Linked DNA regions of Tribolium castaneum. The protein of the gene in region 1 purifies or fractionates together with the protein of each later gene. This does not show direct contact. Links are inferred from orthologs where the notes say so. Each region holds a gene or a part of one and is shown on either strand. Other genes may lie near its edges.

Region 1 (5,311 bases):
GGTGAAAATAATAATTAAGAACTTAAAATTAACACACGTATTTCTGATACACCCTGTAGATCAACAGAATAGACTTCAAACGTGTAGTATTTCTATGCATTATCAAAAACAAAATAATATTTTAGTGTTATCTAGGTAAATAATTATTTCAGTTCTTTTAATAATAATAATTGAGACGTAAGTACGCACGGTAATACCAAATTGTAATTGCATAAAAATTGCATAGTTTAAGGAGTAATAACTAAATATCTTTAGGAAAAAAATCGATAAAAATTCCGTACTTACGTAAACAATAATAATCAGTCTATCTTTAATAATTCAGTACGAAATACTTTTAGGATCGTTTAAAAATGTGAATTAAAACATAATGTACGATTAGTCCGTAATGTGAGCATTTGATTGGCTCAGTTTGGCCTTGAATGTTTAATTGCATGAAAACTGTATACTTTCAGAAATAATGAGTATAATGTCAGTAATGAGAGTAATGAATAAATATCCTTACTCAACCAAAAGATCTAATAAAAATTCTAAACTAAAAATTTCTAATTTTTCAATTATTTAGTACAAAGTAATAAATTAAGGGCAAGTTAACAAATTAATTAAATTGTAGGTTTAGATTGTGAATCAGAGCAGTTGATTGGTTCAAACTGGCGTTTTCCGAGTTCGGAGCATTGTAGAGAATCACTTTTTTAAATGCATTTTTTTCAGTGCAAGCTAAAAGCTTCAGTGTTTATTTTAATTTATAGTGAAGATGATTGTGGAGAATAATAATGTAAAACAATTTTAAAAAATTGCTTTTTTTACTCCAAAATGAAGCAATTTTTTCGAAAATTTGTTTTACATTACTATTTTCCCCAATCAACTACATCATAAACAACAATAACCACAAAAAAGCCTGCATTTGAAGAAAACGCATTTGCACTTGAAGTGCACCTTCAAACCAATGTGGGGAAGCACTTTGAACTCTTTGAACTGCATTTTTCCAATGCAGGCTAAAAGTTTCAGTGTTTATTTTTATTTATAGTAATGATAATTGTGGAAAATAACAATGTAAAAAAATCTTAAATTTTTGTAATTTGTCGTTTCATTTTTAGGAAAAGTGAAATGAAGCCAATTTTTCGAAATATTGTTTTACATTATTATTTTCCACAATCAACTACATCATAAACAACAATAAATACTGACATTTTTAGCCTGCATTTGAAGAAAAAGCAATTCATAGTTCACCTCAGTGCATCTTCAAACCAATGTATCTTTGTGGAGAAGCCCCGAATCTTTATTTTGTTTCTATATTTGGACTACTGAAGTAATTATCTAGAACGGCGTTGAAGGACACTCTGAACTCGGAATTCACCAATTTTTAGACACTCTGTATATAAACCGGCCCCAAAACTTACAGGTATGGTAGACAACCAGCAATACACACGATGTGTTTCTTTACTAGCCTATAATAGATGACTTTTTATCATTTTACACATCAATCACTTGCTCAAAAAACTTAAATAAGCACAAAATGTCCCGAATAAAGCCCTTGCGCATCATCAAACCAACAAATTCCAGCAATACCGGTTCTGTTATCTTTTTACACGGCTCAGGTGAGAGGTTACATCACGTTGCAGGTTTTCACCTTGTTTTTACAGGGGACACGGGTAAAGGAATTCTGGATTGGATCAAATTTCTAATCAGGGATTTCTCGCTACCTCACGTTAAATTCATTTTTCCTACAGCCCCCGTGAGGCCTTATACACCATTAGACGGAGCCGTATGACACTCCAGTGTGGAAATAAATGACTCCAATTTGTTTTTCAGTTGAGTAATGTTTGGTTTAATCGCTACGACATCACACCTGAGGTCCCTGAACACGTCGAGACGTTGGAAGACATAAAACATGATATTAAATCATTGATTTCGGAAGAAATTGATGCCGGGATTCCCCTGAACAGGATTGTAATTGGGGGGTTTTCCATGGGGGGCGCTCTGGCCCTACACACTGCCTATAGGTTCACTCCAGGCTTGGCGGGGGTGTTTGCCTTATCGTCGTTTCTTAACAATGAATCGGAAGTTTATAAAAATATTCAAGCTGTGAATACCCCACTTTTTATGTGTCATGGGGACAGAGACGAGCTGGTGCCCCAAGAGTGGGGCGAGGAGACGTTCAATAATCTTACGAAACTGGGAGTGAAAGGGGAATTTGTGCCACTGAACAATACTTTACACGAATTGAAAAAGAATGAACTGGAGAAATTACTGGAGTGGATCAAAAATGTGATACCACCAGAACGAGGGCCTTAATTTTTTATTTATTACATTTAGTAAATATATTTTATTAAAAAAAATGTTCGTAACTACAAAATCCCCAAAGATTTTTCCACCACAGCATGAGGTAGTCCAGCAATTTCAACAAATTCTGGAGTGTTAAACACATCAGTAGAATCCATTTCAATATCACGACCGGTCAGGGACTCATGTAATACGTTGTGTGAGGGCAAGAACGGCAAATGACCCACTTTTTTCACCGCCTTTTGCTCCATTGCAATCCTGAGAGGGGCATGCAAACCTTGTGTATTCCTCAATATTGTCATGTTCATTTTGTCTAGATTTTTTCGATACTGGAACAAAAATTTCAACACTTGACTCACGTAAGGACCTTCTTACATTCAATTCTGACAACATGAGGGGATGAGGCACGTCTAGGCTAGCCCTAACAGAGGACAAACCACCGGTGAATGCCTCAGGGACCCCAAACTTGCCCTCATTGATGCAAAAGTCCTCGGGCTGGCCCGGCTTTGACTTAACAGACGGAAGTGCGAAACTCTGAAACAATTCCTGGTTAGGTGTCCAAATTAACTTTATTTTCTCGCACCATTTTAAACAAATTCAATACAAAATAATGAATAAGCACTGTCAAAAACCTATGTCAAATTGTGCTACATGTAGCGACCACCAGGCGGCGCCCCTGAACCAAATTTAAATAATTTTTGCTTCAAGTAATTAAAACCAAAAACACTGAATAATTCCCATTTATTATGCATTTCAAACTGTTTTTTTTATTTTAAACAATTTTAAAATCATTTTTGTAAAGTCATGACACAATTGGCCCCACTGTTTCAAATTTGAATTAAGGCCGAACAAAAAAACGTGTTGTAAAAAGTTGGTTTGTTTATTATCAATAACTTCACAATTAATAGAAATATGAGTCAAAATCTTCGTCTCCTGGAATATGATGACGGTGATAGTGGTGATAATCCTCATCTTCAGTCTTTAGTGGTTGCTGGAAGAACACATTGTGTTTGCCGCTTTTCAAATAACTTTCTGCGTCCCCACTCCCTTTAATTTTCGGAATGGTCACTAAAACTCCAGTTATGTAATCCTTTTTGTCCTTTTGATCGTCAGCATTTTCCTTTTCTTCGTTCAAAATCATTTTCTTTTTATATTTCTTCTTATCAGTGTCGTAATCCTCACTGTCTTCATATTTCGTATTTTTGTTATTGCGCTGCGTTTGTACGCGATCTTCTGGGTGGTGATGGTGGTGGTAGTGATCGGGGTGGTCGCAGTGATGGTAATTTGGTTTCCTGTTTCGTCCTTTGGTACTTTTTGTGTATTTTGAGGGCTCTCCATTATCTTGTCTGTCGTAACTATCGATGTAATCATGGTGAATTGGTTCCGGTTCTCGATTTCGGGTCCGGAGAGGCCGACTGCGCGTTGTTTCAATATCGAAAGCTTTGGGGAAGTACCGCAACATCCTTTTTATGTCTTTACTTTGAAGGAAAAATGACTGGCACGCAGCTATCACAAGAAGGAGAAGAAAAATCGTCTAAAACAATAATTTGAGCAATAGTTTCAACCCTCAGATACATACCACTCTGTTCATTGTGAAATTCTAATAAAAACTGATGCTTTTCTCCTGATTTGACTACGTTTTATACCGTTTTCAAACGTGCAATTTTGGATTGATCCGAACTGTTGCATAATTGCCGCCAAATAATAAACAGTTCAAACTTTCCATATTTTGAGAATATGATACATATTAGTAAATTGTAGGTTTTAGCTTCCGCGTGAGAAATGCTAATATTTGTTTCACTTTCTTTATCCCAAAATTTAATTTTCGCTCCATTTAACTCGGCGTGTTGCTTTAACCACCACTATTGTCAGGTCACGATTTTCACACCGTAGAGTTATAATTCTAATTACCTTTCTTTAAAACGTGTTAATACCAATGTTAGTAGTGATAAATTAAAATAGAATGTGATGTTTTTGTGTAATTATTATTCAAATTTCACGGTTCGTGCCATTAGACACATTCCGAAATTTGCCAACCTGTCATTGGTTGACAGTTGTCAAATTACCGCCGTATAGTGTGGTTTGTGTGATGAGTTTATTTATTTTTAACAATTAAAATCCAACTTGCCTTTAATTTCTCTGATCAAAAATGCCAATGAATGTGATTACAACCAGAAGTTATTAATCTCATTTTTATTAGTGAAGATATTTTAAAACGATGAAGGGCAAATTAATCTCTTCAATAAACCGAATTTGGGTAGCGCCTTTATTATATTTAATCTATTTAAGAACAATTTATGCGGAGTTAGAACCCAAGGAAGAGAGTCCCGAAGTCAATGGCCTTCCTGTAAGTAACCCCAAAGTGAGGTTATGTCAATAAAATGAATATTTTTATTAGAGCGCAGCCTCGTCTGATGATGGACCCGGAAAGATCATTGCTGTGGAAAATTTCGGCTTCATTCACGCATTCGTTGCCTCTTTTTCTGTTATTCTCGTGTCAGAGATCGGAGATAAAACATTTTTTATAGCTGCTATCATGGCAATGAGGCATCCTAGAACGACTGTTTTCGCAGGGGCTATTTCAGCGCTTGCCTTAATGACAGTCTTGTCAGGTAGGAATTTACACAACTAGGGCAATTAATCAAGATAAACGTGATAAGAAAATAAACAGATAACAGTTTTTTCTCAATGCAAAGTGACCCATGATTTGAAATTAAGTTGGCAACGAGTTATCGCCAACTTAATTTCAAAGTCATAGTTTGGACAAAAATTGAATTGGAAGTTTTTATTAGCTCTGTTTGGATGGCTTGCCAACGTTATTCCCCGAGCCTACACTTTTTACATTAGCACAGCTTTGTTTGCAATTTTCGGGTTGAAGATGTTAAAGGAGGGCTGCGCGATGTCGCCCGGGGAAGGCCAGGAGGAGTTAGAAGAGGTCCAGTCGGACTTGCGCAAAAAAGAGGAGGAGGTGAAGGAATCCCCGGTTTTAAAAATCCTTGAATTTAATTTGTAGTATGAAAAACAAGCAATG
Region 2 (4,983 bases), on another chromosome or scaffold:
TAATTACAACTATTTTTTAAAAGGTTCAAAATATTAAGACAGCATGAGTTTACTGTCCCTCTAAGACAAGTTTTCCCTTTAACACAATCAATCTTTTCATTACGTTTTTCTTAAAAAAAATTTCATACACTTATCGATATTTAATTCTGGATTTTCGGTATAGAATTTTTTATTAATTTCTACCAGGTTCTTGAAACAAATGTTTCACCACCACGCTTTCGGTCTGTCCCTTGTAAAAGGTAAATTGATATAATATTATAGTAATTGGGGATTTTTTGTCCGTTGTAAGGTTTTCTTTAATCATTTTCTAATGTTTTTGTTGCGTTCCTACAAAAAAGTCCGTTGTGACGAGGTGTCCGTTATTCGGAGGTGTCCATAGGAGGTTTTACTGTACTACAGTATTGTAGTATTTCTTTCTTTTTTTAATTAATTTAGTCACAGAACTACCATTTTTAGGTGGAGTTAATTCGAAAACAATCATCTGACGTGATTTTTATATTCTTCTTCTTTGTTCCTAAAAACAAAAGTCTAAACTTGCATCTCAGTACAAGTCTTTACGTTTCTGTGGCAAATTATACTTCTAATAATAATGTTAAAAATTAGATCAGACTAAGGACATTGCAAAACAAGAAAAAAATTTAAATAATTTTTTTCTTCTCATAAGAGTTAAAAAATTAAGCATTAAAAATGAAATCAAATAAAACACGGAAATTTTTATAAATTTTATTATAGAAATTTTACAAAAAAAATACAGACATTTCTCACACAATTAATTTAAGAACTAATCTCTGGATGTTCTTTCTGCACATGTTTTAAAAGATGGTGCGAGTAGGCAAACCTTTTCTCGCACAAGTTGCAGGGATAGGGGGTTTCCCCTGAATGCGTCCTCATATGCCTCATCAAAACACTAGACTGAGTAAAACTTTTGTTGCACACTTTACACTCAAAAGGCTTAACTCCACTGTGTATCCTCATATGCACATTCAAACTAGGCTTAGCCGTAAACTTTTTCTGACAAATTTCACAACTGTAACGCTTTTCATTGGTGTGACATTGCTTCAAATGCAATTTCATGTAATACTCGTTCTTATAACCCTTATCACAAACTGGACAAAACACTGAAGGCCCGTCCTGGTGTGTCTTCAGATGCTTACACAGGGAATCAGAGCCTGCGAACGTTTTGCTGCAAAACTCGCACACGTAGGGCTTTTCCCCGGTGTGTCTTCTCCTGTGCACCTGCAGACCGCCTGATTGGACGAAACTCTTGTCACACAAATCGCATTTGTATGGTTTTATTCCTTTGTGGATTCTTTTGTGAAGGACCAGACAGCTCTGAAACCTTCAAAATTTAAACGTAGAGGAATTATTAACAAGAGGTGTTTACTTGAATGCTTTGTCACAGTCCTCACACTTGAAGGGACGTTCCTCAAAGTGGATCCTCCTATGATTGGTTAAGAGGTAATTCAGCCCAAAGCCCTTATCACATAAATCGCAACGATAAGGCATGTCACCAGTGTGCTTATGTTTGTGGGCAATATACTGATATCTGTACCTAAATAGTAAATCACACTCTTCACATCTGTGCTTTTTTATCACGGGTTTCTTGTCTTCGCAAGCTTCGCGTTTGTGCTTTTTTTTAATTGGTACAAGTTTTTCATCTTTACATTCTTCCAAATAAATATTTTGAACGTCAATAAATTCACTAGCGCCTTCTTCTTTAGTGCCAATTGTTTCTTCTTGAGTAGGCTCTTCAAAACTTAACGCAGAAGTGATTGCTTCCTTAAGCTTCATTATTATATTCTGGTTTTTTAATTTAGCGTCTGATGCTATTATCAATGTTCTAAATTCAATGCAACTGTTTAGTTTGTGGAGACACTCTTTACACACCGACTGTGGGAAATCATCTTCAGGAGAAATCTGCACAAAAGCATAGCAAATATAAAGGAAACTCACAGAAAAGAATTACTTTAACTTCTGGTGCAAAACTCATTACTGCATCGCAGATAATTTCATTACCTCGTCCAACAAAGCCAGATTCAAAAAGGTTGACAGAGGAGCCCGGTTCAGTTTTAATTAAACAAAAACGACACTTAAAATCCATTTTATCGCAAAAAACCTATCTTTTAAATAGTCGTAAATCTAAGGTTATGATTAAAGTTGTTGATGTTTTTGACTTGTCACCACTATGACGCCGCGAAAAACCCTAGCAAGTTTTAAATTTCTCTTCAAAAGTTAAAAAAACGAACTAATGATAATACTCAAAAAGTATATTTATGCAAAAAACAATTATAATAAATATATACACTTTTTTAATAAATCCCTAGAGGTGGAGGTCCCCCAAAGACACAATTCCACGAACTTGGAAATTTTATCTCCGTCACATTACACTTTGTAAAGCCGTTAACAAACTTGTTCAACACATTTATGCAAGCAATTGCGTCAGGTCTGTTGTCACCCTCTGACACGTATTTGATCAAAACTGTACACTCAAAATTACTCTCCAACACCTCAAATAACTTGACTGCAAACCCAGATCCGTGGACCAAGTATTTGCCGTTAAACTCCACTTCCTTCGGCTTCACGTTTAAGCTTTTCATCACATCGGTAATTTCCTGGTTACTGATGTAGTAGAATTTGTTGCTACTAACCACATGCAACTCGTAGTCAAAAGAACTTGCGAGAATTACAATGCTTTTGATTTTAAACTGCGTGAGGGAGTTTTTCAAGTCTGTGAAGAACTTGGTGGCGAGTTTCGCATTTATGGCTGAACGCAGTTGAATAAGGGCTACTTTTAAATCTTCCTTGATGTATAGTTCGCATGCTGTGCATATTTCGGGCCCGTCTGTTCGATAAGGGTCCGATCCCACGGAGGAAACGATGGCGGGGTGCCAGATAGTGGCCACTTTCTTGAAATTTAGGGATGTTATCAGCAAGTCGATTGTAAGTTGGGGCACATTCCCGACGGAAACACTGGGGATCAGTAAAGTGAAGCCCTCCAAGTTGGGTTTTTGGCTGAATTTAAATAATTCGGCCATAATTATGATGCTCACAAGCCACAAAAATGTTTATTTTGAATAGGAAAAGTAAGGTTAATGACAAGCAAATAATTTTTGACAGTTGACGCTTACAGGCACCTGCATTACCCCATGCGGCCCAAGTTCATTATCATTATTATTTATTTTAAAATTTGCACCCACAATCTTTAAATATTTTTGTTTTCATTTTATTTCTAATCGCTTTATGTAAGCACAAATGTCTTGATAAAAGTGCCTCCTAATATTGGAGGTATCACATGTCTGAGAAAAACAGTCGTGCCACACTTCTACCACCATTAATTGTAAAATTGATAATAAACCATCAATTAAACCATTAATGATCTAGAAACACTCTTATTTAATTCTAATAAATTTTTGAGGTCCTAATTTGTATTAGTTTTCTCCACATAATACAAGTTCATTCTTTAATTTCCCACCACACAAAAACAGCAATAGCAATAAGACTACTGTTGTACTTACCGTAGATACAGATTAAGGCCGTAGGTATAAATTGTGAAAAAATAATAAACACAAACCACAGACCACACACAGAGATTAGAGGTGACACAAACAAGACTTTTCCCACGTTTTAATTTGTGTTGGTTGGTTCCACTGTTCTCAAAACGGCCGGTACATTTCAACCTTGCATTCCAATATTCTCAAAATTTCTGAACTTTCAACATCCTCATCGTGGTACGAATGCAAAATTCGCAAATTATTTTGAGAGGAACGGAATACTTTGAAAATGTTTTAAATACATAATACCATGGGTTGGCAGCGCTCACAGCATGGCCGGTGAATCCTGCACTCCATTGGCCAGTTCAAATCTGGTACAGCCGCTCCACAATTTGTGGGCACCTAACGTTTTTTCTTGGCGGTAAAAACCACTCAAGTGATTTTCTTGCTTATTTTCGTGTAAAAATGTCTCATTTAATGAGAATTTTACGTGCCGATGAGCGCGAGCGCGCATCTCAAGACACCCGAGCCACCAGCACACCTCAGAGTGGGTCCCCCAATGTCTCTTCCCCAAGTATTTCCACCATTTCAAGGGGAGAAGAACCGATGGGAGATGAAAACAACAACGATAATACCACAAGTGGAACTATCGATTACGGAACATCATCTCCGTCCGAATGTAAAGTTTAAAACAAATATATAGTCATAAACATAACTGGTTTGTAGCTCCTTCAGAAGCTTCGATCATTAGAGATCGAACTGTAAAACCTCTCAAATGGGAGAATTTCTGGAGCGCCTTGAAACCAAAAAATGAAGAGAGCCTTTATTTTAAAATAATGACTCAACCTGACCAGTTAGAAGTAAAGGTAACAGTTTTTGTTACACTGACTACATTTTATCGCTTTTAGAGCATCGCAATTGAGCTGATGGACGCCTACAAGTCCAATAAAGAAACTGCTATTATTTCCATTCTCCAGCTTTTTGTCGACCTGAGTGGTTACAAAAAGTTATCAATTGGCGCAGTTTACGATTTTGAGCGGGAAAATGCAAGTCAAGTCGTCCAGCAAATGCAGTATGACTTACTGGAGGAAGAACTTAAAGTAAACTAGGCACAAAACCATCAGGAATTAATTCACTTATTATTTGTAGAATACCGGAAAATTCCTCTTTATGAAACCAACAAGTTTTGCAAAGGGCGCCGAACAGATTCTTGCCCAGTTTTTGGACCATTTATTAAGCCAAGCACTCAAGTCTCAAGTCTTATTTGACGAAGTTTTTGCACCACACGTCTTCCAATTCGTTAAGTGTATGTGCTTCAGCAGAATGAGTGGTCCCTACGTCACTGGCCTTCTGCTAGGTGAGCAATAACAAATTAATTAACCCCTTATAACACTAAACACTCTAGTAATAAATATGATAACGTCGTTTTTGAAACTGCACCAACAAATAATTGCTTCAAGGAACGACATTGATTCGAAAAGTTCGGCAATAC

Evidence for each region. The genes of interacting proteins can lie anywhere in the genome.
Region 2: the proteins of Pomp (region 1) and proteasome assembly chaperone 2 purify together in Homo sapiens (co-immunoprecipitation; 6 studies listed by BioGRID and IntAct, counting the BioPlex papers as one, with this or other methods). This does not show direct contact. The link is inferred for Tribolium castaneum from reciprocal best matches to the Homo sapiens genes POMP and PSMG2.

Annotation. Positions count from the first base shown.
Region 1 is NC_087402.1:10,194,234-10,199,544, forward strand, and holds Pomp (proteasome maturation protein), read right to left. Parts: upstream 2,970-5,311; 5' UTR 2,867-2,969; coding exon 2,864-2,866; intron 2,815-2,863; coding exon 2,656-2,814; intron 2,610-2,655; coding exon 2,346-2,609; 3' UTR 2,293-2,345; downstream 1-2,292. Other genes in the region: lysophospholipase-like protein 1, read left to right, coding at 1,514-1,595, 1,641-1,762, 1,810-2,292; uncharacterized protein LOC103312852, read right to left, coding at 3,182-3,814, 3,860-3,871; putative divalent cation/proton antiporter TMEM165, read left to right, coding at 4,499-4,627, 4,679-4,892, 5,073-5,248, 5,294-5,311. UniProt on the Homo sapiens protein: Molecular chaperone essential for the assembly of standard proteasomes and immunoproteasomes. Degraded after completion of proteasome maturation. Mediates the association of 20S preproteasome with the endoplasmic reticulum.
Region 2 is NC_087394.1:29,412,657-29,417,639, reverse strand, and holds proteasome assembly chaperone 2, read right to left. Parts: upstream 3,137-4,983; 5' UTR 3,036-3,136; coding exon 2,310-3,035; 3' UTR 2,250-2,309; downstream 1-2,249. Other genes in the region: zinc finger protein OZF, read right to left, coding at 775-1,339, 1,385-1,917, 1,967-2,101; uncharacterized protein LOC100142369, read left to right, coding at 3,957-4,170, 4,218-4,351, 4,400-4,591, 4,641-4,848, 4,897-4,983. UniProt on the Homo sapiens protein: Chaperone protein which promotes assembly of the 20S proteasome as part of a heterodimer with PSMG1.